Callithrix jacchus: one gene and its partners. The protein of the gene in region 2 interacts with the protein of the main gene of each other region in a biochemical or structural test. Links are inferred from orthologs where the notes say so. Each region holds a gene or a part of one and is shown on either strand. Other genes may lie near its edges.

Region 1 (4,486 bases), on a different chromosome or scaffold from region 2:
TTCCAGCTACTGGGGTCGCTGAGGCAGGAGAATCGCTTGAACCTGGGAGGTGGAGGTTGCAGTTAGCCAAGACTGCACCACTGCACTCGAGCCTGGGTGACAGAGAGAGACTCCATCTCAAAATAACATAAAATAAAATTACCAAAATTTTTAACCAATCTATAGTTAAAGCAATACAAGTAGTCCAAAAGTTAGTGAGCAACTTTGACAGAATGCAACCTACATTCAAACTACAGTTTGTTTCTTAGTTTGTCCTCCCCTCCTTCTCAAAATACAGGTTCTACATGACTACATTTCTCTTTATCATATCTTTGTGAAAAACAAAATACATGACTCTGATTCTAAGTCTAACATTACATCCACTATTCAATATTTTCATGTCAGTACACACTTAAAAGACAGAATTTAAGGTTCCTTACCAAAACATAGTAAGGCAACTAAAGAAAAACAGTACAGTGGGAGAAGTTCCAGAGGAGGAAAAAGTGGTCAAAGAAATAAGAAACATTATTCTAAGACAAGAGTTGGAGAAACTGATGGTAGAAATAATAAAACACTATAAAAGTAAGGAAAGATGAACTGAGGCTTGTTCTGGTATTTCTCGAAACACAAACTCTGGCTGTGTCCTGAAAATTTATGGACACAGGTATGGAATATATAAATAAATTGCCTATGGAATTTATAAATGAATTGTCACATAATACAGAGGCTAATAAACTTGCAGAACTCATTACTTTAAAAGAATAGGACCAAACATTGTTAAGTTTGAGTTTTAAATAAATTTAATCAAGATCCTGAATGGAGAACTTCAGATAGACTGATAACCCCAGGCTTACATTCATTACCACAAAGCAACTCTCAGCAGTGGCTTCAGACAGAAGGAGCCCACACAGTTGTCTAGACGGACCACAATTCTCACTATAGTACTGTCTATGCCTGCTTACATAAAATTCTACTCTATGTTTAACCCTTAAGGACTGTATATGATATGTTAATTACTTCCATGAAACTTTAATTTGGTACTTTGAGAACATTACTAAAATGCAAGTCAAAGGTTTTATAGACTTCAACTTTAAAACAATGGAAGGAAAAAGTCATTCCTGAAAGAATTAAATATCAAAAGTGTATCCTAAATTGATACAGAAATAAAGACAATACAAAATAGCAAAACCTCAAACAAAATTAAAAAGTGTTGTCATTTAAGATGTTACTCCAAAAAAAATAAAAACTTGGTGAAGGGGAAAAAAATCACTTTTATAAAATGATTAATGTGATAAATGCTCTTCCCCAGATAAGCTGTGATTCCTAAGAAATCAAGTTCCTAAGTGAAATCTGTTACAGTGTCTCCTGACACACAGACCCAGGAACTGAGAAGATTAACTCCTGTATCAATAGGTACTAAATGAAAATCTCCCAAGACTGTTTTTTCATTTTTTTTTTTAAAAAGGGAATTTTGCTTTCGGGGGTCCTATATAAGAGTACCCCAGAAACAAAAAGAACACTGTACACACCCACAGTACCAGGAAAAGGTTACAGATACAGATGGCCTCTGTGCGCACACATCCTCTGGCTTCCTCAATTTCCCTTTGCCAATTACTGGCCAGAAAGGTGCGAGTATTCACTCTGAAGAAGGAACTCCTCCAAGAGAAACCTGCATACTTGCATTACTCGTACAGAGTTAAAAAGTTACGAAATACAGGCCTCCCTAACACCTTCTCCCTTCTGTGAATAAAGCTAGACCCTCTTGTGACTCCCAACACTCCTGGGAACATCAGCAAAACTCCAGGAGGAAGCGCCGGCATCCTCCCACTTTCTCCCCTCAATTCCCTCTCACGGGGCCACTCACACTTTAGAGAAGAGCCGCGGCGCCGAGAAAGTGGGCTGGTTCCCTTCCTCCTTCGGACTGAGGCGGCAGCGCGGTCCTGAGGAAGAAGCGGCTCGTGTCGCTAAACCAGGCGGCCACTCGGGTCTCTTCCGTGCTGCCAGGGGCGAGGAGGCGGCGGCCCCGCTTACCTCCTCTTTTCCTCTTCCTGGGTCTTTTCAGGCTGCGACTCCTGCCCGTCCAGGGCCACTTCTCCCAGGACAGTCACGTTTGGGAGGCTCTGGATTTTGTTTTTATAAAGTTTCCTCTGGGCGGAGGCTGTGGCCGGCCCCCCGGATCCCCCCCGGCCCCGCCGCCCTGGGGGCTGGGGCGGGGGAGGGGGGCTCTAAGAACTCCTCCCGGAGTCCAGCCAAGGAGCCGGGGGGCCGGCGACTGGCCAAGGGAGAAGACCCCCGAAGGGGGCTGAGGGGAGGGGGAAGGTGAGGAAAGGACGGCGGCGTCGGTCCCGCTCTCTCCGCCGCCCCAGCCGCTGCTTCACATCGGGGTCCCAGTCCCCCCGGCCGGGGGGGTGGTTGCAGAGCTTGGTTGGGGCCCCGGCTCATACACTCCGGGGCAAGATGCTACGGACCCGGGCGGGTGGCCGAGGCGGCGGCGAGGCGGGGGACCCTGCCGGCTCCGCTCGGCGCCGCCCCCGCTCCCGGCTCCTGCATGTGTCGCTGCGGCTGGGACCCCCCTCCCTACACCTTGGGGGTCCCACGCCCCACGCCCCGGGACGAGGCAGAAGCTCCGGCGCCTCCTCAGCGTTCTCTCACCGCGGAGCAGCTACCCAGTCCCGGCCCGCGGTAGCCGCCTCCCTGCCCCCCAAGCCGCCGGCTCCGGCTCGGGCTCGGGCTCGGGCTCGGGCTCGGGCTCGGGCTCCGGCTCCGGCTCCGGCTCCGGCTCCGGCTCCGGCGTGTGCAGCCTCTGCTGCCGGCCGGGAAGGTGAGGGGGGGAGAGGTGTGCGGCCGCGGCTCCCGCTGACCCAGGTGAGGGCGAAGGTCTCAGCGGCGGCCAGTGCAGAGGGGCTGAGTCTCTCGGATGCTCCTTCGCTCTTACTCTCGGCGGCGGCGGCGGCGGCGGCGGCGGCAGCGCCCGGAGCTCAGTTCGCTGTCTCCCTCGCTCTGTGCGGGGCTCTCGCCTCACTCTAGAGAGAGAGGGGCGGGAGGAGAGCGGCGCCTGCAGATGACGCAAGTCACCTAGCAACCGCTCTCCTCCCCCTCCCTCTTCTTTCCGCTCTGAGGCTTCCTCCGCGGGCCTTTTTTCCTAGTCCAGCCACCCCGCCCTGGGCGCCTCTGGCGCGCTCTGATGACGCTCCAAGGGAAGAGGAAGTGGGGATAGGCGAGCGGGTGGGTGCGCCTCGGGCCGCGGGACTTGCAGCCGCCGCCGCCGCTGCTGCAGCCTCTACGGCCGCGTCAGAACTGAAGAGAGGAAGGGGAGGAGCCGAGACAAGCCTAAGCTGCCGCCCGATCTTACCCCTGACCCGAGGGCGGCCCGGAGAGCTTGCTCTGTAGCGGTTTCCTGCGGGGCAGGTGGGACTGCTCCTTTGGGAGGAAGTAGGAGGCCCAGGCCGCGCCTTCAGGCAACTGCGCGCACCACCCGAAGGTGAGGCATTTGGCTCCAAACAGGCCCTCGAAAAGCCGGACTGATCGAGGAGTTACCCCACGGCCTGATCCACTGCACCTGCCCCAGGGAGAGAGCGCCCCACCCTTCCCGTGGCGTGGGGTGAGACTCAGCGCTGGATAACGTGTGGTCGGGCAGAGCAAATGTTTGATGAATGAATGAATGAATGAATGCCTCCTCACGTGGCACTCGCGAAGCTCATAGGATATGGTGGAAGTGCAAGCGCTTTTCAAACTGCAGTGCATTGTAAAAATGAGTTGTAATACATTCCTCCCCTCCCCCTAGCTATGAAAGGAAACAGGGGTGCGGCCTGAGTACAGAGTCACAACCTGAGTCTTCAGTGGAAAAGGAGATGAAATGCTGGGCAGGGGAAGGAACCCATCCTCGGGCAGATTTTTAGGGCGGCGGGGAGGGAGGATTGGAAGGGAACCATCATCCGGGAGATTGTGGAAGGATTTTTGACTCTCAAGGGAAGAATTTCATTAGTAGTGCCACACTTTTACGAATCGTTCTTTCTTACGGTTTGGAGCTTTCGAGAGCTTCTCGTCTTGGTTCATCAGTGTACAGTGTCATCAAGAAATGTTGGCCTGTGTTTCAGGTCTGACTCAAAGGTTATTTTCTTTCTAAAACAAATATTATTACTATTAGTGCAGCTTTTCCTACAGACGTTATCCTGGAAAGGAACGTCAAGTAAAAACTCATGAAGTTTAAAGTGTAGTTCTCCAGGAAAAAAAATTTTTAATAAAAGGATCCGAATCCTGAGAAATCTGTCTTGAGTGAATAGCATGAGAATGGTCAATCGTATCAGAAAGACATTAAAGCAGCAACAATAATGAAAGCAAATTTCACAATTATGTCGCTGGACCCTAGTACATTCCACCTCCTCTGAAAACAGTAGTAATGGATATTACAAGTATTTCCACCTCGAGGAGGGGTGAGATAGGAGCAAGTGTATTATAAACAAATTTGGGAAGCTCTGGGTTTCTGCCACTACTGCCACCACCATCT
Region 2 (4,208 bases):
GACATTCTTAACTTTCAACTCCACTTAGATAGCTAGTATCTATAGATGATGCAGAAAAGAGGTTAGGGGAGTACTTTTCAATAGTTTATTGCATTTTCTTAAATATCCTTTCTGGAATTTTCAGAAACAAAACATAAAAAAATTATATACTTTATTACAAATGGTAAACTCAGAGTGCTCCAAATCTCTTATTTACAAACAACACTGGGCAGGACACCCAAACAAACAAACAAGAAATAACTTACAAAGGCATGAAGCTGTTTATTGACAGTAATCAGCTTTCATCAAATTAAAAAAAATATATATGTACATACACAGTTAACGAAGGCAGGCCAGAAAGAGTTCATCTGCAGGCTCAGCCTCGCTCTCACAAACCTCCCTCCAGCCGCCCCTCCCCAACCCTCCCCCCCACGCTTTGTGTTCTTAAGGAGTACTACAGAAGCAATCTACAGTCTCTATTGCAGTTTGTAACCCCCTCCCCCTCCCCCCTTTAATACTGAATGAGATCGAATGTTAGGTCCATGCAGTTCTTGGTCAATGTTAACGAAAAGTCTAACGTTCCGTTCGCGCGGGGACAGCCCATCCGCAAAGCCGGGCAGCCCGCAGACGGCCGCTCCCTGGCTCCACGCCAAGGGAGTGCGCGCCAAGTCCTTCCCACTCGTGCACACTGGGGGCGCCGTCAGGACGCAACCCAGTCCAACTTGGATACCCTTGGCTTTAGTTCTCGGACACTTCTTTTTCCTCTCCGCTGCAACTTGTCAAGTTCTCAAGTCTGTCTCTGTTATTTTTTTCTCCGTTGCCCCTCAGTCCCCGACAGTCTCTCTTCAAAACGTTTGCAACTGCTGCGTTAGCATGAGTTGGCACCCACTGTTAACGTGGTTCATGACTTTCTGTTTAAGCTGTGCCACCTGTTCCCTGAGCATGTTGGCCGTGGACGCCAGCTCCGAGTTCTGAGCTTTCAAGGTTTTCACTTTTTCCTCCAGCCGGGCGATTCTCTCCAGCTTCCTTTTTCGGCACTTGGAGGCAGCGATGCGGTTCCTCATGCGCTTCCTCTCTGCCTTGATCCGCTCCTGGGACTCCATGTCGATGGGGGACAGGGGCGGCGTCTCGCCGGGCATCTCGGGCACTGTCTGAGGCTCCTCCTTCAGGGCCTGCAGTCGCGGGTGCTGCACCGGCATCTGCTGGGGCAAGTGGTGGGGCGGCTGCGGCGGCTGCTGCTGCTGCTGGGGTTGCGCGGGAAAGGCCAGGCCGGCCGCGCCGTAGGAGGGCGCCCCGCCGCCGCTGCTCAGCGCTCCGGGGTTGAAGTTGCTGAGGTTGGCGTAGACCGGCGGCTCGCTGTGCAGGCTGGCGCTGAAGCCGCCGCTGCCACTGCCCCCCGCCACCGAGGCCACCGCGGGAGCCACCATGCCCGCCCCGCTGACCGGCTGCGCCGCCGACGTGACGCTGGGATGTGTGTTCTGGCTGTGCAGCTCGGCCAGGGCGCGCACGAAACCCTCGGCGAAGCCCTCCTGCTCGTCTGTCACGTTCTTGGGGCACAAGAACTGGGTGGGGGTCGGCGTGGTGGTAATGTGCCCATTGCTGGACTGGATGATGAGGCGCTCCAGCTCGGGAGACGCCAGCTTGAGCAGCCCCACGTCGGGCGAGGTGAGGAGGTCCGAGTTCTTGGCGCGAAGGTGCGGCTTCAGGCTCCCCACTGGGTCGGCCAGGTTCAGGGTCATACTCTGTTTCAGGATCTTGGGGTTACTGTAGCCATAAGCTCCGCTCTCGGACTGGAGGAACGAGGCGTTGAGGGCATCGTCATAGAAGGTCGTTTCCATCTTTGCAGTCATAGAACAGTCCGTCACTTCACGTGAGGTTAGTTTGGGCTGCGCGCAGAAGTTTCGGGGCCGCAACAGCGCTCTGGCAAGCGGGGTACACCCGCGTCCCCCCGGGCCTTTGGCGGGGAAAGTTTCTCTAAGAGCGTGCGCGCCTGCTGGCAGTCGTCCCCGCTGCGCCCTACTCACCAACTCGCTCCTGGGAGCGCAGGGTTAATTAAGATGCCTCCCGCACTCTTACTTGTTGGCTCGCGCGCGCTGCCCGGCTTTGAAAAGTCGCGGTCACTCACTGAGCGATCTTCGGTCGCAGCGGTTCCTCGGAGCCCGCGGGCGAACTCACTTCCAGGAGCGGCGGTTCTCCCAGAGGCGCGGATCAGTGCGGACCCCGCAGTGGCCAGCCGGCGGCGGGTCTCGGCCGCCCGGACTCCGACGACTTGTCCCCTCCTCCGCTGCGAGGGGGAGGGGGCGCCCGGCAGCCGCGGCTTGCGCTCGCCCAAGTTCAGCAACCAGTGCGAGCGAAGCTGAGCGCACGTCCTTCTCTCGCGCGTCTCTCCAACGCCTTTTGGTCTTTACCGCCGTCGAGCAGCCTAAGGCGCAGGAAAGGCTTGCAAAAGTTCGCTCCGGGACTCTGGGCCACTTGGCCCGGGTCCTCCCAGCCGGGAAAGTTCTTTGCCGCTGCAGCCGCTCGCCGACGTCCCCCGGCGGGCGCGTGGGTACCGCTGCTCTCCGCCGCTGTCAGCAGCGCTTGGGCAGCGGGGTTCTTCTCCCGGGGGCGGCTGGAGACCAGGCTCTCCCCGCACTCCTCGAAACACCAGCCCCGGAGCCACAGGCGCTAGCTCTGGGCAGTTGGAGAGAAGATGGAAAAGAAAAGATTTGCAGCTCGGACTCTACTGCAGTCCTGGCTGTCTGGCTGTGTCTGTCTGTCTGCCTGAGACCGCGCACCTCCACTCCCGCCTTGCTGCTTCAGCCACACTCAGTGCAACTCTGAGCCCTTATCCAGCCCGAGCTCAACACTTATCTGCTACCAGTCAACCCCTAAAAATAGCCCATGATGTCACCCCAAGGCTTTCCCATTGGCTCGCGTCGCTCTCAGGGGGGCGGGCCCGCCCGTCGCCATGGAGACTCCACCCTAGAAGATTCTTCTCTAGGCCCGCGGAGGCTCACGGGATGAGGTAATGCTCCGTTGCCCTCCTACAGTCGGTCCCTTCTTTCTCCTCCCCTCCCCCTGCCGCACGCCTCTCGGCCCTCTCTTCCCTGGTCTCCTCCCCCGGCCGTTTTTGCTGGCCCGCCCGGTGCATTGTGGGCTGACGTCTTGGGGTTTGACTGTCTAGTGACGGTGGCTGCCGCGAGCGGGCGGACGCTCGCAACGTCTCTGGGGTGGGGGGGGGCGCTCAAGTTCACGGCTCCGGACAGGGATGCAGAGATGCAGGGGATAAGGGGACGCGGGAGGCCAGGGAACCCGGCCAGTTGTTGGGGGCCAAGGGTGCGGGCGAGGGGTGGTTGGGGTTTCTCCACTTGTGGGGCTCGAAGTCATCCGCCGGCGTCTGCCACCGCGCGGGGCAGGAGGCTGAGAATCCAAGTCTGTGGCCCCCCCCGCGCACTTCCGGGGGCGGGAGCACCGCCCTTAAGGTGGCTCTGTGAAGTCCCAGTTGGGGGCGAGCCTAAGGGCGCTTAAGTTTGGGGGCGGTCTCGCGAGAGTCGGCCCCCCAAGTTGAGAACGCTCGGAACTTTGTCTTGGTCTAGTTCAGGAGCGATGGTCCGCGGGGTCGTCTGGCTGCTCATAGAAGCCGAGAAATTTGTATTGCCCGAAACTGAACGCTCAGCTGAGTCTCCGTTGCACCTCTCTTCATCCTCCGGGGACGCGGGGGTTCATAGCTTTGCCTTGGAGGGGCAGTTTTTATAGTGAGAGCAATTAGTGGGTAACAGGGTCCAGATGGGAACAAGCATGTAGGCAATCCGAAACTTGGGGAAGCCCGGTGTTAGTATACTCCCCCTCCCGCCCCCGGACAACACGCACACGCTTAACACAGCACGCTCAACACACAGGCGCGCGCGCGCACACACACACACACACACACACACACTCCATCTGCGCCGTGTTGCTTCCGGGAAAACAAGCCCAGAAGGCGGCGGACGCTCGCATAAAGTCACGCAGTAGAACTCGGAGCCCGGGATAGAACCTGGACTTCAAATCTCTGCACTCCGGGCCGGGTTGTGGGCCCATATCCTGGGTAGCCTCTAGGAAGCGCTAGACACATGTAAGTGGTTCCTTTTCCGCGGTTGTTATTTTATCTCCCCACCACCCCCCCCGCCCCCACTCCTTAGGGACGAAAGTGTGTGGTGGAAAGAATCTTGAAGTCGGGAATCCTGGTTCTTTCGTGGCCAGGCTGCCAC
Region 3 (4,226 bases), on a different chromosome or scaffold from region 2:
GGTTCTCTGGGACAAGGCAAGGGCTCCTGCCGCTTCTGGCCTTATTTTGTGTATTCCGACACACCTCACAGGGCTTTGTAACTCCCCACCCACTTGAAGGTTTGCAGATAACTTAAAAACAAAAAAACAAAGCGGGGGTAGGGGGTGGGGGATTCCTGCTGTTAAAAACAAACAAAGGACTTAGACACTGCCTAGTTTGATGTGGGAGGCCGCAGCAAGAGAAAGGCCCAGGGTACCGGAGTATTTCCTGAAAGTCACCAAGGGGCCTGCGGGCAGACGCCCCTGAAATCTTTTGGTGGGGTGAAAAGACCGGAGCTCCACAATGTGCCAGTTGGTTTGTTGTTGTTTTGCTTTTTTATTTTTTTTTAAATACATAAACTCCCAAATACTCCTGTCTTGCCTCACTTTTTTGTGAGTTCATTGCTTTGGAAACAAAACTCTCTTGCATTTATTGGGTGTCAAATTTCCGATCTTTCTCTATCAGGAGATCCAGCAACACCCGGTTATGTAAATTTCTTCCAAAGATAAATTTAAAAGCATCCCCATTCATTCCTTTTAAGAATTCAACAGATGTCTTTGAGGCCCATTTTCTGCCGGGTACTCGCTTCACAAGGCTCAAGGGACCCCAGGCTCCAGCCATTGTCAAGGTTGTCACTGAGATCCCAACTCTCCACTTCTGAGGACCCACTTGTCCCCACCTCCCCGCTTCGCACACGTTCCGGAGGCTCTCAGCCGGTGTGATCTCACCGTCGAGAGAATAAAAACAGCCCCCGGGCGCCGGAGCCGGCCAAGGGCCTTGACGGGGATCAGCGAGCGCAAGGCCAAGTGCGCGCCCCAACTTCCTGGGCCCGGGCCTTCCGCGCGCCCCCTCCCGGGCTGGGGTCCTCTCCAGGGTGCACTCCCGCCGGGACAGCGCTTGCTTGCTGCGAGTCCAACCCTCTCCGGCCCGCAACTGCAATCGAGCTGCCCGAGCGTGGGCTCCGACAGCGAACGCCAAGGGCCGCGCTCAGCCCTCCCTCCCGCGGCCCTTCTCGCCGCGCCTTTCCCAAGACTTCCTCCCCGCGCCCGCCCGACTTCAGGTGGGGGCTGCGCGGGATCCCGTGCGCTCCAGCCAGGACCGCTGCCGCCCGGGTCGCCCACGTGGGCGTGCTGGGCGTGGGGAGGTGGCGAAGTGGCCGGCCAGCCGGCCCGCCGGGGGCCAGCCGGGAGCTCTCCCCTGAGCAGGGGGCGGATAGGACGCCCGCGCGAGGAGGCGGCGGGGCGCGGGGGAGGAGGCGGGGAGCCCCGGCGGCGAGGGGGCGGTGACAGCGCTAGGAAAGGAGGCTGCACGCGGATTTGCATGAAACACAGACTGGGAGCGGGCGGGAGCGGGAGCGGGAGCGCGGCGTACGCCCCGGGCCGGCCCAGCCAGCGAGCGAGCGAGCGGCGAGCCGGGAGGAGGAGGGCAGCGGGGCTGCGAGGCAGCAGAGGCGGAGGGATCTGCTCATCAAAGCTAGCGAGGCGAGCGAAGTTTGGCCGGGGGTTGGACTTTCCTTCCCGGAGGCGGCACCCAAACAGCTACCCCGTGCGGAAACCCAAACTTCTGCTGCCACTCGGAGTCTCGCGGCCGCCGCCTCCGCCCCGCGTTCGGGGCCTTCCCGACCCGGCGCCGCTGCCGTCCGCCCACCCGCCTGGCCGCCGTTTTCCCCGCCGTGGGAGCAGCTCCGGGCTCAGAGCGGCGCGCCGAACCCCGCAGGCTGCAGCGCCGCGGCCCGGCCCGGCGCCCCGGCAACTTCGCCGAGAGTTAGGCGAAGTTTGGGCGGCCGAGGCCGGCCCCGGCAGAGCTCCCCTCTGCGCCCCCGGCTTCCCGCCGAGTACAGCCCCGCCGGGGGCGCTCCTCGCCGCCCGCGCGCCCTCCCTAGCCATGTCGTCCATCCTGCCTTTCACTCCCCCGATCGTGAAGCGCCTGCTGGGCTGGAAGAAGGGCGAGCAGAACGGGCAGGAGGAGAAATGGTGCGAGAAGGCGGTCAAGAGCCTGGTCAAGAAGCTCAAGAAGACGGGGCAGCTGGACGAGCTGGAGAAGGCCATCACCACGCAGAACGTCAACACCAAGTGCATCACCATCCCCAGGTGGGGGCCCGCCCGGGGGACCCGGGGGCAAGCAGCGCAGCCCCCTGGCACTGCGGGGCCGACCCAGTGGGGTTGGAGATGGGAAGAGGGAGAGAGACTGTGTGCGTGCGTGTAAGAGTGGGGAGCAAGAGCAGGGGCAGGAAGGGGGTGGGGGGACCCCAAACAAAACCATCTCTGTATTTGCAAAGATCAGAGCCCGAGGCTTCCACGCGGCACTCTCGCTTCCAAACCTCACATTCCCTTTCCACCCCTGGGAGGGGAGAGCGGGTTGCTGCGGGACTCGGCCGCCCCCACCCCGGGGAGCTGGGGCTGGAAGTTGAGGCCCGCTTTGTTCGGCTCCGCGGGCCGGAGCCCCTCCTCCGCCGCCGCCTCCCGCCCCCGCGGCCCGCGCTCGTGGAGGTGGTGGTGTCTCTGCGTTTCTTTTCTTCAGTCCGGTCTCCCCACTTCTTTCCTCTACAGGAATGCGGTCCGTACAGCTGGGGCTGTGGGTGAGGAGCGGGAGCCTCGTGATTGACAGATTCCTTCTTCGTTCTTTCTTTGCCTTCGGGATTAGCGTTTTTATCGAGTATTTTTAGATTCGGTTGTGCCAGTCTCCCGCCCCCTGCGCACGCACGCACTTTGGTTGCAGTGCAAATGCTCTGACTTCCAAATGGGAGAGACAAGTGGCAGAAAATAGGGTCTCCTCCCTCATTTCCCACCCCTCATCCCGACTCTTTTGCCCTCCTTTCAGTCCAAGAGATTTTGAGTCGTGCAGAACGAGGGAGAGGGGCGGGCTGGAGCCGGGCAGATAACAAAACACACCCCGAAGTGGGCCTCGCATCGGCCCTCGCATTCCTGTAGAGCCCTCCTTCCCAAAGCGCTCTGCCATCTGTCTGGATCTCCTTTATCCTTCCCGTCGCGCGCTAGCTAGGTCGGGCGGGAGCCCACAGATGGCTGATAGAAGGGGTCAGTGACTTCACTCCCCCAGGGGCTTCCTTAGCTTAGCTGTGCCTGATTGGGAATTGGGGGTGGAGGTACCTTGGCCTCCTGTCTCTACCTCTCAGTCTTCTTTGATTCCGAACCAGGGGAGAGAGTGTGTGTGTTGGGGGGTGGCTGTTTTGGAGGTCCTAGGCTGCAGAGGAATGATTAGAGAGCACCAGGGACTGTCAGCCATGAAGGGCTGTCATCCCTGTTCCGGAGCCAGGGTGGACTCCATCCTTGGCCACCTGCTTGGGGCAGTTGTACAAGGTCTGCCAGGAGAGTCAGGCAGGCACAAAGCAACATCTGTCTGCAGGAACTCAGGGCAGGCTTCCCCTGGAAATAAATGCCACATATGGTGGGAGTGCGGACTTAAACAAAATTCTTTTTTAACTGGGTGGATCCAGTCAATAAAGGGGGAGGGAAGGCGGTGTGCTGTCTGGGGAAGTCTCTGGGCGTGTGATCAGGAGCCAGAATTGACTTCAGAGGAGGTGGTGTGATGTGATGGTCAGAGAGACCTCGGGGTTTGGTTCCAGCTCGGGTTCTTAATTCTTCTGTATTTCTTCGGTGCGGGTGGAGAGGGTAGAGTGGGTGAGTATCCTACTTCTCTGTCTGGGGAGGGGGCTCCCAAACCTACCTTGTCCGTATCTGCCGTGGTGCATTGAAGACAAGCGCTTTAAGCGTTGAAAAAGAAAAGTGGTATTAATTATACAACAGGCAGCTGTGAAAAGTGTTTCACAGTTTACAAAGCACTTTCACATGGTTTCCGAGGTTCTCAAAAAAAGCAAGCAGGCAACCAGCCAAGCCCTGGAGAGTAGGTTAGGTTGTTAGGCCTAAGATTATCACATTTTTAAAGTTGAGAAAACTTTAGGAGAGAGAGGTGCAAAGGCCTGGGTAGTAGACACGGGCTTCTGACCGCATGTGCTCTTTCTGCTGCCCCACGCTGCTTTCTGCTTTGAAGATCTGAATACATTCTTTGCTGAATGCTAAAGCCCTTTTAGCTTGGGGAGGGCCCTGTGGACCTTTGTCTGTGCCGTTGCTCCTGTATCTGTGGGCTGTTGATGGCTTGGCGGAGAGGCCTTGCTTTCCCTGGTCTTGGTAGTTTGTCCTCTGTGGGGTTATACCTTTGGCCTGCCTTTTCCTCTTCTAAAGCCCCACTG
Region 4 (3,740 bases), on a different chromosome or scaffold from region 2:
TCTCAAGGCATTAAGACTCAAATGCCTAGAAGTGATTGGTTAAAATACTGTAAACCAGCGGAAATTTGTTGCATTGTTTTCTATAAATCATAACCAGATCTCATTAATTGAAAACCAAATGTCAGTTTGTGTTAGCGAGCATCTATAAACCAAAAAGGTACAGTGATCCTGGCATGTGATGGGCAATAAAAACGTCAGCAAAACGTATCAGGTAAAATTCAGAGGAAGGTGTGGGGAGGGGTAAATTCAAAACCATATTGGAGTTTACTGCCAGGGCCCCACATAACGGGTTTTAATGGGGCTTCTGCATCAAAATAAGTGAAACCATATGGAATTTTAATTATTACTACAGTGTATTTTAAGTATAAATACACCTGAGAAGCAGTTTTTACATTAACATGCCTATCTGTGTGAACTCCATGCTTCTGCAGGGGGCACACCTTGGCGTTTTAAATACTACTTCTTTCTGATGCACACTGCTCACATTATTCTGGTCTTATATGATCTAAATATTGAACTTAATGCATACAGAAGTGACTTGCCCATCACTATTAGCTCTGCCTGCTTGGGGGTCTCCCAGGTGCCCTGCAATGCAGAGGCCACCTGAGGAACATCTGTGGCCTCCATTTGGCCTCTGTATTGTATGAGGCAGGGCACGAGCATTGGGCAGGGAGATGTTATGGTGCATCTGCTCCCATTTCTGATTCTGGCATAATCACAGCTTCCACATTTTTAAACTTAAGCTTGACAGAATTTCATTTTGGGGAGGAATAGGTAGAAGCTAGTTGAGGATGGAAGAATTTATAAAAAGCAGAGAGTGACTGCCTGGGATATGTCAGTTCTGGTTCTTCATCTTGAAAGTGCTTCTGGCATTAGAAGCTGCTCACTAGCTTTTACGATCTGCTTATGGGCATGCGGACTCTGGGAAAATACTAATGACAGATGGGAACCTCTCTATCTACTCCTCCCCTAAGGCTGTTGCTTCTCTTTCTCTCTTGGAATTCATGGTCATAGAACATTAGAGCTGGAAGGGAACTTAGAGCTCATCCCCCTCATTTTACAGATGATGACACTGCCACCTCTGACTTCTGCCTCTGGCCTTCCACTCTCAGTAAGAAGAGCCAGGCAGGTGAGACTTTTAACAATTGCTGGGCTGGGCTGGGCAGGGCTGGGCTGGGCTGGGCTGTCTGGTTGTTACTGTCTGATTTGCGAGTTTGTTAACTATGTGTTGCTTTCAAAGAGTCATGTTTTATTACAAATGCACATCATGGCACTTAAACCTTGCATTTTATGAAGATTCTAAGCAGTGTGCATTTTAACAAAAATTAACAACCTTCAATCAGCAACTTTAAAGAAAAGCGTTCGGATTATTCCTTTAATAAATGTTGTAATACCCGAGAACAAGGTCTGAATAAAAATGAGACGAAGAAGTAACCATTCACTAAAGTCCTCAAGAATTGTTTAGTGCTTTCCTTTATAGCTAAAAGCTGTAGGAAAAACAAATATATGAGATTAGAATAATCCAGATATTTTAGAAGGGTTCATTATCTTAACAAGGGCACTGGTGTTAGAAAAGGGCTTGTCACAGTGCTGTCAATTCCAAAAAAATATTAATAGACCCAATCTTTAAAGATCACAACTACAAGATTTTTAGCATTTCAAAAAAGTAAATTCCACATTAAATGGTTTATAATGGTGGTTTCATAAGTTAGGCACCAGGAATGTCTATTAAGGAGGCATACTGTTAGCTTTAGACGTGAAAGGACTTCACATTTTAGGGGAAAACCATCTTCGCCTCTAGGTTACTGCTTCAAGTTGACCTGAAGCTGTTTCTGTAGGATGTGGTGCTGGGGCCTGTGAGATAGGTGGGGAGTGCCCTCCTCTTAATCTCCCCTAGGCAGCAAAGGCTACTGTCAGCACCTGGCCTAAATCAGGTCACAAGTCTCCCATCAAGACTTGAAATGCAATGATTCCTAAGATACCAAGCCCCCTTTTGCCTCCTAACTCCCACTTTCAAAACCGGCTTGTCTAGTAGCTTATGACACTCCTGTCCATCTCCAGAGAATTTAGGAGTTTCTGGTTTGATTTCACTGTTAACAAGATGAGGCTTATGACAAGATTTTAAATTCTTTTAAGGCTTTAAAGGAAATGATAGGAACATGATAGGATATCCTTTTGATGCTCCTTCATTGACTAAGGAGTCTGCCAAGAGTAAAGAGTAAGACATTATTTTGGAATTTCTTTATATTGAGTTGAGGAAAATAAACTTGTCTGACTTAGTAAAAATTTCACTTGAAATATCTAATGCGCAACAAGAAACAAAAAGAGAAAAAAAAATCCATAAGGATTTGGTCTTAAAGTCTGGTGAGTGAACCTATGTGATCAGAGTGTTGGGTTGGTTTACACATTGACCTGGCACACATGTGGGTTTTTAAAGCCCTCTGGGATGCTCTGAGGGTGAAGAACTTGAGGATCAATGCTGTTAAGACTGCAAAATGGGGGTAAAAAAGACTGTAAAGTGACTGGTGCATTTGAAGGTCTATTTGTGGCTTGCTGTTCCTATTTGGGAAAGCTAAAGTTTTCATTTTTTTTTTCTTGTAACAATTCTATCATTATTTTAATTGATATTTACAGATTTTTCCCCCCCGTCTTCTGTTATAATTTTTAGGTGCTTCAGAACTGGGCCCTTTTTCAGACCCCAGGCAGTTCCCAAGCATTTCATCCCTCACTGAGAGCCGCTTCTCCAACCCACGAATGCACTATCCAGCCACCTTTACTTACACCCCGCCAGTCACCTCAGGCATGTCCCTCGGTATGTCCGCCACCACTCACTACCACACCTACCTGCCACCACCCTATCCCGGCTCTTCCCAAAGCCAGAGTGGACCCTTCCAGACCAGCAGCACTCCATATCTCTACTATGGCACTTCGTCAGGATCCTATCAGTTTCCCATGGTGCCGGGGGGAGACCGGTCTCCTTCCAGAATGCTTCCGCCATGCACCACCACCTCGAATGGCAGCACGCTATTAAATCCAAATTTGCCTAACCAGAATGATGGTGTTGACGCTGATGGAAGCCACAGCAGTTCCCCAACTGTTTTGAATTCTAGTGGCAGAATGGATGAATCTGTTTGGCGACCATATTGAAATTCCTCAGCCGTGGCCCAGTGGTATCTGGGGAGTCACATCCCACATGTATCAATATATACATATATATAGAGAGAGTGCATATATATGTATATCGATTAGCTATCTACAAAGTGCCTATTTTTTAGAAGATTTTTCATTCACTCGCTTAGTCATGATCTTGCAGCCATAGGAGGGTAGATATTGAGAAGCAGAAGGCTCAAGAGAGATAGTTGCAATCGGGTTTCAGATTGTTTACTATTTAAGATACACTTTTACAAAGGAACAAACAAGGGAAAAGGTATTTTTGTTTTTGTTGTTTGGCCTGTTATCATCAATAACCTGTTTATATGCCAATTCAGAGAGGTGGACTCCAGGTTCAGGAGGGAGAAGAGCAAAGCCGCTTCCTCTCTGTGCTCTGAAACCTCACACCCTCATGGTGGCAGCTGTGTATGGACCAGTGCCCTCCACAGACAGCTTACAAAACCAGTTGAGGTGCACTAAAGGGACATGAGGTAGAATGGACGCTTCCATCACAGTACCATCATTCAGAATAACTTCCAATTTCTGCTTTCAGACATGCTGCAGGTCCTCATCTGAACTGTTGGGTTCAT
Region 5 (3,740 bases), on a different chromosome or scaffold from region 2:
ATAAATATAATCTAAAATATTTGTTTACTTGTCATTTAAAAAATATAAATAATACAGGTAACTTCAGGATAAAAACATCACTATAATGTGTCATTATATATTTTTATTCTAAAGCACATGATTATATGGAAGTTTATCTGAAGAATATGAGATTCGTCTTGTGTTATTTGAATAACTTTTTATCTGTATGACCCAAAGACTATTTCATAATATCTTATTTTGTTAAATAATTACTAGTTTTTCAAAAGTATATGTTTCAAAAGTGAATTTAAAATTTCAAGAAGACCCAGACCCTGTCAAGTCTGATTTTGCATTTTCATGCCTTGTTGCATTATGGACTGTTTAGGACTTTGAGAAGAGTTAGCCTCCCAATTGTTGAAAGGCGAGTGGTCTGCACCTCCTTTTTCCCTTAACTGTTCAATTCTCAGATATTGACCAGTGGAATAAGGTAATTGAACAACTAGGAACACCATGTCCAGAATTCATGAAGAAATTGCAACCCACAGTAAGAAACTATGTGGAGAATCGGCCCAAGTATGCAGGACTCACCTTCCCCAAGCTCTTCCCAGATTCCCTCTTCCCAGCGGACTCTGAGCACAATAAACTCAAAGGTATGCTCTTCAGGAATGACTTAAGAACAACTATGAGGGTGACGGGCCAAACAAGTACATGTTATAGAGACGTCACTCTCTTTCTCTTTGTTTCCTTCTATGTTTAGTTGACACATGATAATCGTGCATATTTATGGAATACAGGGTGATATTTTGAAATGTATATGGAGGCATATGGTCAAATCAGAGCAATTGGTATAACCTATCACCTCAAACATCGATCAGTTCTTTAATTGGCACAAAATCAAGTAAAGAGAGGTATTTCTTGGAAGATCTTTCCTACAAAGGGGAGAAACCATGGATTTTAGGTCTGAATATTCAGAGGGAAGGATAGTGTGATGATGCTTTGCACTGTGTATTTCACGGGGGATTATTTAGAATCCTAAAGTTATTTAACTCTGAAAGACCAATATAATATACATATATATACATTGAAATCATGGTTTCAATCCTTTTTATTACTTAAAAATATTTTCAGTGCAAGGTTTAGTTGCAAATTGGAGATGCAGATCTGAATTTCTTTTTTTAAATAATTTATAGAGTGCTTAAATTATTTTTTTATTTTAAAATAGTAAATGGGATTTTATATACATTTTTTATTCAATATAAACACATCCATTAATAAGTCATTTTTTCCTATCACTTTGTTGGCAGTTAATGTATTTGAGTAACAAATATCTTCTCCCACAAAATTGACTTGATAATGCCTCAGTCTCATTTGGAGACACAGAATAAATTTGGCAATGCATAAATTGTAATATAAATAATAATACTCAAATTCTTATACTTTGGGACACTTTTGGAAATCTGATGTTGAAATAAATCTGTTTCCCTCCTGCCTGGTTTCAAATTTGTCCCTCTGCCTTAAAATCTGTATGACCCTGAGCAAGTTACCTAATTTTTCTTTCCTTCTTTTAACAAATGAATGTAGAGGGAACCTACCTTATAGGGTTGTTGGGAAGATTAATTGACTTAATAATCTGTCGAACACTTAGAGCAGTGCCTGGCCCACTGCAGATGCTTGGTGACATTAAATATAATAAAAATAGTAGTTTTAAGATGTATCTGTAAATTATCAAAAAAGAAAAACTTAGGACATATGCTTTTTAAATTTAGTCCCAAATGTTACATGAACAGATTAAATATCTACAGACTTAACTTACAAGCTTAATATGTATAGCTGAGGAAGACTTAAACAAGATGAGGAATCTGAAATGTGGTGCCACTGTTTTCCAGGATGTTTTTATATCCTCTGAACTTTTATCTAATGGGTTTTAAAAGTGCAACCCTGCTTCTGTGCTCTTGACACGTTGAACAGTTGGATTTCTTCCTTCAGCTGCCTCTGTGGACTCTCTTACTGACAGTGGACGAAATTATTTCTAAATCTACTGCTTTTAAGATCAACATTGCCTGTATCCAGTTTGAAAAAGAGCTGATACTCCAAGTGAAGATCTTATAGAAGTCATGCCTTAGTGATACTAACTGAGATATCAGGCAAAAGTAATCCCTTCTTATGAAGACACTTGCAACAATAAAGAGACAACAAAGCCCTCATTCAACTATTGTATGAAATCACAATAAAAGGGCTATTAAGATACTATGTTTCATAATATAATTACAATTTTCTTGAATTTACTTTTTAATTCAATCTCTGTAATTATATTACTTTTGTAAATGATAAACTAGTTTGCATATTTGATTATTGATTTTAATTTTTAATATAAAATTGGCAAATATAAATAATCATAATATACAAATAACCAAAGAGAAGAATTTATTCTACTGTATTTGGAAAAGAGCATAACACATTCGCTTTCAAATGAAAGAATGAAAGAGGACGCACTGAAACATTTTCCCATATTGTTTCCTAACAATATTATTGATCATTGTTTCTTAGCAAGATGGTTTGGTATTGGTGTAGTTCATGATCCTATTCATGAACAGTCCATTCTAATCCCAGCTTTTTCTAAGAGCAAAGAAATGGTTAGATTTGATGAGAGAATCTATGAGAATTGTACATGAATTTGGATGTAAAATCAGTTACAAATTAAAGAGATCTTTAAAGCAATGAATAAACACAGCCCTGTTAGGCTATTAGGAGGCCATTGGCAATGAGAAAATTAATTATTGAATAAACATGTAAGTATTGCTGTATTTTTGTTATTCCTGTGCCGTTCAGAGTTTTAATTTAAAAGTAATAATAGTTTAGTTTCTAGGATTGAGTTTCTCAAAAAAATGGTTAATAAAAAGTTCTCATTTGATTTAACTAGTGATTTGTTTATATTTGTTAAGAACATTAAAAGATATATTTATTGATTACCAAGTAAATTGGTAATTATTATTAATTACTCATTGGTAATAATAATTTAATTACCAAAAAATACAGGTAAAAAATTAATTGCTATATTTTAACTGTAGTATAATTAATATTATGTGAAAAGTACATGAAAAGCACTCAAAAAAAGATGCCAATAATCATAGTCATTGCCTCTAGCTAAGGGGGTTAGATATTATTTCCTGATTTTTATATTTTATGTAATTTTCAAATTTGTAGAATTAGCCCAGTTGTCTTAATCTGAAAATTGATTAAATAAAAACTGATACATGTCCACAGAGTCATCTATGTTGATTGTTTGAAAACCAATTTAATTTTTTCTCTTTAATTTGATGTCTTACCATATATTTAGAATAAACAATATTTTAACCTTTCAACTTTCTCTTTCTTTCTTTCTTTCTTTCTTTCTTTCTTTCTTTCTTTCTTTCTTTCTTATTTTTTTCTTTCTTTCTTCTTTCTTTCTTTCTTTTTCGACAGAGTCTTACTCTGTCACCAGGCACTAGGCTGGAGTGCAGTGGCACAATCTCGGCTCACTGCAACCTCTGCCTCCCAGGTTCAAGTAATTCTCCTGCCTCAGCCTCCCAAGTAGCTGGGACTATAGATGCAAGCCACCACGCCCAGCTAATTTTTGTATTTTTTTTTTAGTAGAGACAGGGTTTCATCATGTTGGCCAGGATGGTCTCCATCTCTTGACCTCGTGATTCGCCCTCCTCGGCCTCCGGAAGTGCTGGGATTACAGGCTTGAGCCACTGCGCCCGGCCAACTGTTCAACTTTCAAATCGATTGAGTAACAA
Region 6 (4,208 bases), on a different chromosome or scaffold from region 2:
AACTCCCTCTGGTGGCCAAGGGGTGCGACACCACGCTGGATCCCTTCCTCTACCCCTGGTGCCTCCAGGCGGCCTGGCCCAGCCCTCAGTGCCCTTGGAACCTGGGTCACAGGCTTGCTGCCCTCCCCAAATTCCGCAACCACCCTTCACGCCACCCAGCCCCTGCCCCTCCCCAACTGCAGGGTCTTGTTCCTTCTCCCCACGCTGGCCCTGGCCACTCCGTAGATCCTGGTATTGTGTGATTGCTGTTCTACCCCCACACTCAACATTTGTCAACCACTGTCCCCATCTTCCAGTCCCCAAAGTCCGGCTCTCCGCGGTTTTCCCCATGTGCCCAGTCTCCGTGCCTCGATTCCTGCTTTACTTTTCACCGCAGATCTGGCAACATCCCAAGCCTCGGCCTCTCCCATCCTGTACGGCCCCAGGCCACTAGTACCTGATCCGGCCTCAAAAGCAGCTCAGAGTCAAAGGGTCCCAGTCCCTAGGAGGCCCTGAACAAGACACTTCTCGCCCTGCCCCCCACTCTTCTCAGAGGATTGACTGAGCACGTCCCACTTTTTAAATGTTGTCAACTAAGTCACCCCACCACCAAGCGCACTCTCCTCCTGCGTCACCGACCCACCGGGTCACCAGTCTACCGCCATCTCTTCGCACCACCTCCACCTCTACAATCCAACTTCTGCCCTCACCCACACCCCTATAGACCCATTCCTGCCGCGCTGCAGCAAGCAACCGAGTCCGGACTCGAGGCTTCCCGGACGCCAGGCCTGCCTCCCCCAGCGCTCGCCCCGGGCTCTCCCCGAAGCAGGCGAGCTCCCGGGCCGCTCCAGGCCGCCTCGCCGCCGCGAGCCTGCATCTGCAGTCTGAGGCCTGGCTCCCCGCGGACACCGCGGCATAAACCCCGCGCGCCTCCACCCTGATTCCCGGTCCTGTGGACCACCTCCTCTTCCACCGAGCCGTGGCCCCCTCGCCCAGACAGCGCGGGCTCAGCGGGTGGGCCGGGCAGTGCCTACGTCTACAGCTCACCGCGTGTACGGCGCGCACCGGAGCGCCGTGGCCTGTCAGCTGAGAGGCCCGTGGACGCGGAACCCACGGAACCCCGGCCTGGGACTTCCAGTCTGGCCCCCGGCCCCTGGCCCCGCCCCCGCCACCCTCCAGCGACCCGCCCACCGGGAGCCATTGGCCGCATCAGCTTCGTTCTCCGCGCGCTGATTGGTCTGCCCGAGGGTCGGTCAGACCAGGCGCCTCGGCGGCGGCAGCTGAGGCGAAGGGAGCTGGACCGGAAGGGTCGCAGCGCCCTGGCGCCCCTCACATCTACTGCGGCGGCGGCGGCGGCGGGGCGGAGCGGCTGCGGAGCGGGGCGGGGCGGCGGCGGCGGCGGCGGCGGCGGCGGCGGAGCCGGAGCCGGGGCCGTGGAGCCTGGAGTGACCAGAACGCAGCGCCGCCAGTCTGCTCGCCCGCCCTCTCCCCGTGGTGCGGCGGCCGGGAGGCGAGGTGAGCCCGGCGGGCGGGCTAGGCCTGGCGGCTGCTACTCAAACCGGGCCCGCCGGGAGGGGCGGCGGGGGAGCCGCTCGGCCGGGGCTTCGGGGCAGGCCGGGGGCTGCGGGGCCCTGGCAGCCGCGGCTGTCGCCCCTGTGCTCTGGGATGCCGCAGTCGCCGCCTCCTGCCCTACTGTCAACAACCCTGGGTTGCGGGCCTGCTCCCCGGCCTGGCCCGGCCAACATGCCCGTGGGGTCTGCGGGCGCCATCCCTCCCGGTGGTGGGGCTAGCAGCTGCTCTCTGCGTCGGGTGTCCAGGGGCCCGGGGGTCGCGACCGCTCGACCTTGGCCAACGCACCGACCCTCCCTCTGCCGCGGTTTCGCCTTCGGGAAAGTGGGGGAAATGTCTCTTCTGGACACGGTTTTTGTCAGGCTGTGTGACTGTATGCAAACGCCTGGGCAGGGCTCGGGTGTACATTTGTGGAAGATTGGGCGGGGTGCTGACCCTTGCTCGTGTGAGTGGAGTAGGAACCCCCTCCCCATCCGTCCAGCCTCCTGCCTCCCGCGAACTTCTCCCTTGCATTGTCATTGCACACTCAGTGTCCAGCAGTGCCAGAGGGGACCCAGCCCACATCCCTTATCACCACACCCCTACCCCAGAAGACCGGCCACATCCCACTCATCTTGCTCGCCTTGAATATGCCAGCCCACATTTGCCCCAAGACATTCGCATTTGCTGTTTCACCATCTTCGGAGTTTTCTTCGAGATCTTGGTACAAGTAGCCCTTTCTGCTTCTTCCTCTGGTGACATGTCTTGTTTTGGGTGAGGCCCTCCCCGACCACCCTCTTTCTTCCCTTAGTCATACTATTTCATTATTTTAAAAATTTCATTCCTGGCTTTCACCTGGTTTGAAACTATTCTATTTATTTGCCTGTTTATTTTCTGTCTCCCCCACTAGGATGTAACTTTGTGAAAAGAGATAGCTGTCTGATTTATCCACTGCTTTATCCCCAGTGCTTAGAAAGCAGACAGTATGTATTCAGTAGTATCAGCTCAATGAATGAATGAATGGTCAAAGAAATGGCCCAGCCTCCCTGTTGTCTCTGCTTTATCTGTTCATTTAGTGACTTTTGATTAACTTGTGAAACTTGTAAACAGATGGAAGCTTGTTCTATTTTGTGAAACATTTTGGTGTCCTTGACCCCTTTAATTGCTAACTGTTGGAACAAGCTGTGGTGAAAAATCCCACATTTTATAACAGGTTAGTTCTAGCTTTCTTCTACACATACAGTAGACATTTACTGAATTCTGCATTATCTAGGTCATGCTTTCTGCCAGGCCCTAGGGACAAGGCAGATAGCAACAGGGTCCCTTTCCCAAGAGAGCCTGGGAGCCCAGTAGAGAAGGCAGGCATGCAGACACTTAGTTCCAGGACTGTACATCACTTGCTGTAGTTCAGGGGCTATGCCATGGAAATGTGAAGGAGATGGAAGGTTGTGGGGGCGGGGCGGTGCTTGAGGGTGTTGAGAAATTTGCTAGGCAGGGAGAGGCACAGAGGTGTGAAAGAGCATGGCCAAGGAAGGACTGTAGCCCACTTCAGAGCTGAGAATCCGTCTGCAGGGCCAGGTGTAAGGGCACAGAGTCATGGGGACCCCAGAGAACTGGAACCTTACCCAGTAGTTTTCTAGAAGAAGGTGGAATTTGGCTGGGTGCCATGGCTCATGCCTGTAATCCCAGACACTTTGGGGGGCTGCCGTGGGAGGGTCACTTGATGCCGTGAGTTCAAGACCAGCCTGGGCAACCTAGCGAGATCCCTGTCTCAACAAAAACTTTTTTTAAAAATTAGCTAGGTGTGGTGGCATGCACCTGTGGTCCTAGCTACTTGGATGGCTGAGGTGGAAGGATCCCATAAGCCCAGGATTTTGGGCCTACAGTGAGCTATGACCATACCACTGTGCTCCAGCCTGGTGACAGAGCAAGACTCCGTCTCTAAAAAAGAAGGCAGCACTTGATATTTATTCTGATTTTAAATGTTGGCAATAGCTAATTAATTTTTGTAAAAAACGCTGTGAGTAAAGCCAAATACAGATTCATTCAGTTTGTTCGCAGGATTGTCCTCCTCCATGATTGGCTGTGTGGGAGGGAGGAACTGTGAGGAGCAGGAAATGTAGCCTAAGGCCAGGGGAGCCAGGTCCTGTTTGCTCAGGTACCAGCCCAGGTACTTATTTGATTGTTACTGGAGCCCTGTGGAAATGGAAGCTCAGGAGTTTCAGTAGCTACTTCTAAGCAAGCAGCTGGTGAGTGGAATTCGAACCCAGGTCGCTCCCCAGATAAGCATTCTTTCCTGGGTCCCTCAGCTCAGAGTATTCTCTTCTGGCTTTTATCTTGTTGTGGAAGAATGACAACCAGTCTATTTAATGTTTTCTTCCATTTAACTTTTTTCCTTCAAAAGGATCCTGCAGAGTTAAAAATAATATTATTTTTGCATAGTCTTCTCTGGACAGCTTTGATTTTCCTGGTAATTTAATTTTCAGGATGCCAGGACTTTAATTTGTTCACAGATTAAAATATGTTTATTTGGTGCCCTAAATAAATATTAGAGGGAATACTTGAATGTGTCTGTTTAAAATAAAATCTTTATTTTCTTTAACTGGTTTACTCACTATTAACTGATTTGTCTGGTCCTGTTTTCTTAAAAGGACCAGACAAATCAGTTAATAGTGAGTAAA
Region 7 (3,457 bases), on a different chromosome or scaffold from region 2:
TTATAAATTTTTATCTTTTAATAAGAATGACATGTAGGCCAACCACACTGTTTGTTAAATGTGATGCTTAATGTTTGATTGTATCTATAAGAGCCTGTCTTCCAAACTCTACCTCATTTTCTTTCTTTAACACTATTTAGCAAATATTTATTCAGCTCTATTTCATAAGGCAGTGGGCACCCAGATGTTTTCATATTCATGGTTGTGCCTTCTTTTGACCTGTTGCAGGTAAAATTACCTAATTCATGACCTATACTCAATTCCTGTAATACCAACTTGTCTAAACAGTTTTGTAAGATAGATACCTTCTAACTTTTTACTCTGTATATTGCCTCAGCATAATGGTGTATTCTTACAGATTTTAAGAAAATGAATAATTTTTCTTTTTTCCACTCAGCTGCTGATAAAGATGATAGTTCAGAAGACATTTCAGTGCCGAGCAGTCCACATACAGAAGCTATACAACATAGTTCGGTCAGCACATCCAATGGAGTCAGTTCAACCTCCAAGGCAGAAGCTGTAGCCACTTCAGTCCTCACCCAGATGGCGGACCAGAGTACAGAGCCTGCTCTTTCACAGATCGTTATGGCTCCTTCCTCCCAGTCACAGCCCTCAGGAAGTTGATTAAAAACCTGCAGTACAACAGTTTTAGATACTCATTAGTGACTTCAAAGGGAAATCAAGGAAAGACCAGTTTCCATTTATGCGAAATCTGTGGTTGTAAATTTTTTTTTTACTTGAAATTAAATTTGGCTCTAAAGTTTGTGTAGCAGCAGTTGATCAGACTGAAAAACAGCTTTTAGTCTCTGGAGAAAGACTGATTTTGCTTTTTTTTTAATATAAATATTGTTAGATTTATTAATTTTTCTGTGCTCAGTGTATAAATTGTATTATAATTCATTGTGGTTTATTTCACTTTTAATTTGCTGGTGTTTTAATAAATGGGGGTGTTACTGAATCCTTCTTCCCACTTCCATTTCTTTTGACCACCCCTTAACCCTCAACTGTGATGGTAGTAGTATTATCATTTATACCAAAGTTCTGCATAGTCCCTGTTGACTTTGTAATGTTAACGGAGTCATAAAGCACTAGGCAAGAGAAAGAAATTTGCTTTTAATCTTTTTGCCTTTTATTTTGCACATTATGCAAAAGGAAAAACATTAAAGAACACTTTTTTTTTAAGTGAGTGAAAACATGGTAAAGACATACAGTGCTTTTATGCACATTGTTAAGCTAAATCAAGGTCATTTATAATAATGCATTTTCCTTTTATTTAAGATTTTAAGTAAATTTTAGAATTTTCAGCATTTCAAAACGATTTTATTTTTCAAGTCTTAAATTCGATATTTTACACTTATGTTTTGAGGCTAAAAAATATGAAATTATATAATGTATTATACAGGGTTATCAAATATCTAATAATTTTTTAAATTAGCTCTTGTTTTTGTTTTTTTGTTGTTGTTGTTTTTGCAGATTTCAGGTTACAAACTGCAAAGTTTATGCATAATTAAGTATGGTATGGTTGCCAGAAAAGCCTACAATTACAACTTAGAAAATTTAAGACTGTTTACCCCCATTGTCTTGTACTTGCGAGCTAACTTGTACTTAATTCTTGTGAAAGCACTGTCATCTTTTAGTAGCAAATTTTGATAATGTTTCTCGTGGAAAAAAATCAGTATCTATCTTTAGAACAATGTAATTATAATGTGGGAAGTGTGCATGAGGGAGAGAGAGAGTGTGTGTGTGTGTCTGTGTGTGGGTGTGTATGTGTGTCTTTCAATAGTTTATGCCAGCAATCTTTGCTTGAATGTTTAACGATGCCTTCAGTGTGATGCTGGCCAATAGATGATTGCAGTTTAAAATGTCATTATTGTGCAGGCTTGGATAACTAACATTCCATGATGTAGCTTGTTTCTGATGAGATGATTGTAGGTACACTTTTCTCATTATCCAGTCATCTGTGGGATACTTAGTTTTCTAATGTGCCATTATCTATTTTTATTCTGCAATTATGTTCAAAATACAGTACATATTTTAAAATAGAATAAATTGTTAAACATAAAATTTTTAAAGTAGTAGATGTGCGTAAGAAAACTTTGTAAAATAGTATGAGTCCTACCCAGTAGCAACTTCTGGCATTCAAGCAGGATTCCATTATGTAAATATCTGTAATGCATTTATAATAAGTTGTGTAGTTTGTCCTGCATCCATACTACACTATTTGCTAAAGTCTCAGTGCCATCTCCTAATGAGACTGACATTTTAAAAGTCTATATGGAATATCCTTGATAATTCAAGGAAAATATCTCACCTGCCTAAGTTCCAAACTGGGAAACATTCAAATTATATAAATGACAGTTCAGGACTTTAAGTATGAAGATAATGGGAATTTTATTGTTTAGCTTATTAAAATGAGAGCATTTTTATTTGACAATTCTTCTAAAATTTTTAATTTTTAACTAATTTCATTATTTTAAAGTAATTTCAAATCATTAAGGAGTTATCTCAAAGGCACAAAATATGAATTCTGCAAGAAGGCTATTTTTTATTGCAGTTTGAATGGGTTAGGAAAAGCCTCAATTTTTCACTCTTAAGTCCTTTCGTGCATTTTTCTTTCATCTTATTACTTATGCAAGTTAAATTCTTTGGTAACAGAATTCTTGCAACTGTAAAATAAAACTACATAGATGTAAGAAGTCATGTAAACGGTTAACAAGCTTACCAAGGTTAGCAAAACTTTCATTGTAAACCAATCTGTACTGAGCAAATAAAAAATCATTCTTAGTTGTATAAACACAAATTCCATTTTGACTTTCAGGATGTCATACTACTTCTGTACCTAGCATTTTCAGTCCTTATATTTGCAATGTTACACAAACTGTACTATTTTCTTTTATGTGCAGTTTGCATGAGTAAACCATCAGAGAATAAATTCTATCTTTAAATTATGTTCATAATTTGCTTGTTCTTACCTTTCCTTCATGAAGTAACATCACCTGATAATGATTTTTTTTTTCTTTCAGGACATTTATTACCTGAAAAGAACCTGAATTCTTTCTAGTTTTGTGATCAAATTCATTCATTCCTTTTTACTGCAGGGTACTCAGGCCTTGTTCCTATTTGCACTCACTTTGCATCCCATTCATATATAATGAATTATATAATTCATATGTAATTCCCCACACCCCTGAACTTTAGCCGCAGATCCACCTGCCTTTGGTATCCCTTGGTGATGGCCTGACAAAACATCTAAAACAAAACAGGTCCAACACTGAACGGCTAAACAGCTCACCCTACCCTCAAACATATTCCTCATACAAACTTTCATGAGTCAATTGATGACAACACAATTCTTCCAGTTGCTTAAGCTAGAACAACCTAGTTGTCACCCTTTTCTTTTTCTTAGCCTACATTCAACCCATCAGGAAATACTATTTCCTTTACCCTCAATCCAGAA

Evidence for each region.
Region 1: the proteins of JUN (region 2) and FBXW7 form a complex in vitro, tested with the Homo sapiens proteins (3 studies listed by BioGRID, with this or other methods). The link is inferred for Callithrix jacchus from reciprocal best matches to the Homo sapiens genes JUN and FBXW7.
Region 3: the proteins of JUN (region 2) and SMAD3 form a complex in vitro, tested with the Homo sapiens proteins (3 studies listed by BioGRID). The link is inferred for Callithrix jacchus from reciprocal best matches to the Homo sapiens genes JUN and SMAD3.
Region 4: the proteins of JUN (region 2) and RUNX2 form a complex in vitro, tested with the Homo sapiens proteins (2 studies listed by BioGRID). The link is inferred for Callithrix jacchus from reciprocal best matches to the Homo sapiens genes JUN and RUNX2.
Region 5: of the proteins of JUN (region 2) and MAPK10, one has a biochemical effect on the other in vitro, tested with the Homo sapiens proteins (7 studies listed by BioGRID and IntAct, with this or other methods). The link is inferred for Callithrix jacchus from reciprocal best matches to the Homo sapiens genes JUN and MAPK10.
Region 6: of the proteins of JUN (region 2) and MAPK9, one has a biochemical effect on the other in vitro, tested with the Homo sapiens proteins (17 studies listed by BioGRID and IntAct, with this or other methods). The link is inferred for Callithrix jacchus from reciprocal best matches to the Homo sapiens genes JUN and MAPK9.
Region 7: the proteins of JUN (region 2) and ATF2 form a complex in vitro, tested with the Homo sapiens proteins (4 studies listed by BioGRID and IntAct, with this or other methods). The link is inferred for Callithrix jacchus from reciprocal best matches to the Homo sapiens genes JUN and ATF2.

Annotation. Positions count from the first base shown.
Region 1 is NC_133504.1:44,161,800-44,166,285, reverse strand, and holds the start of FBXW7 (F-box/WD repeat-containing protein 7), read right to left. Parts: upstream 3,005-4,486; 5' UTR 2,011-3,004; exon of another isoform or gene 1,920-2,010; 5' UTR 1,844-1,919; intron 1-1,843. UniProt on the Homo sapiens protein: Substrate recognition component of a SCF (SKP1-CUL1-F-box protein) E3 ubiquitin-protein ligase complex which mediates the ubiquitination and subsequent proteasomal degradation of target proteins.
Region 2 is NC_133508.1:95,863,949-95,868,156, forward strand, and holds the start of JUN (transcription factor Jun), read right to left. Parts: upstream 2,801-4,208; 5' UTR 1,830-2,800; coding exon 825-1,829; 3' UTR 1-824. Other genes in the region: uncharacterized protein LOC128928178, read left to right, coding at 4,071-4,072. UniProt on the Homo sapiens protein: Transcription factor that recognizes and binds to the AP-1 consensus motif 5'-TGA[GC]TCA-3'.
Region 3 is NC_133509.1:14,107,555-14,111,780, forward strand, and holds the start of SMAD3 (mothers against decapentaplegic homolog 3), read left to right. Parts: upstream 1-1,341; 5' UTR 1,342-1,903; coding exon 1,904-2,109; intron 2,110-2,483; exon of another isoform or gene 2,484-2,570; coding exon of another isoform or gene 2,571-2,575; exon of another isoform or gene 2,576-2,597; intron 2,598-3,531; exon of another isoform or gene 3,532-3,657; intron 3,658-4,226. UniProt on the Homo sapiens protein: Receptor-regulated SMAD (R-SMAD) that is an intracellular signal transducer and transcriptional modulator activated by TGF-beta (transforming growth factor) and activin type 1 receptor kinases.
Region 4 is NC_133505.1:53,970,804-53,974,543, forward strand, and holds part of RUNX2 (runt-related transcription factor 2), read left to right. Parts: intron 1-1,063; coding exon 1,064-1,129; intron 1,130-2,668; coding exon 2,669-3,147; 3' UTR 3,148-3,740. UniProt on the Homo sapiens protein: Transcription factor involved in osteoblastic differentiation and skeletal morphogenesis. Essential for the maturation of osteoblasts and both intramembranous and endochondral ossification.
Region 5 is NC_133504.1:111,512,109-111,515,848, forward strand, and holds part of MAPK10 (mitogen-activated protein kinase 10), read left to right. Parts: intron 1-428; coding exon 429-611; intron 612-3,740. UniProt on the Homo sapiens protein: Serine/threonine-protein kinase involved in various processes such as neuronal proliferation, differentiation, migration and programmed cell death.
Region 6 is NC_133503.1:71,332,561-71,336,768, forward strand, and holds the start of MAPK9 (mitogen-activated protein kinase 9), read left to right. Parts: upstream 1-1,234; 5' UTR 1,235-1,494; intron 1,495-4,208. UniProt on the Homo sapiens protein: Serine/threonine-protein kinase involved in various processes such as cell proliferation, differentiation, migration, transformation and programmed cell death.
Region 7 is NC_133507.1:54,370,125-54,373,581, forward strand, and holds the end of ATF2 (cyclic AMP-dependent transcription factor ATF-2), read left to right. Parts: intron 1-397; coding exon 398-624; 3' UTR 625-2,954; downstream 2,955-3,457. UniProt on the Homo sapiens protein: Transcriptional activator which regulates the transcription of various genes, including those involved in anti-apoptosis, cell growth, and DNA damage response.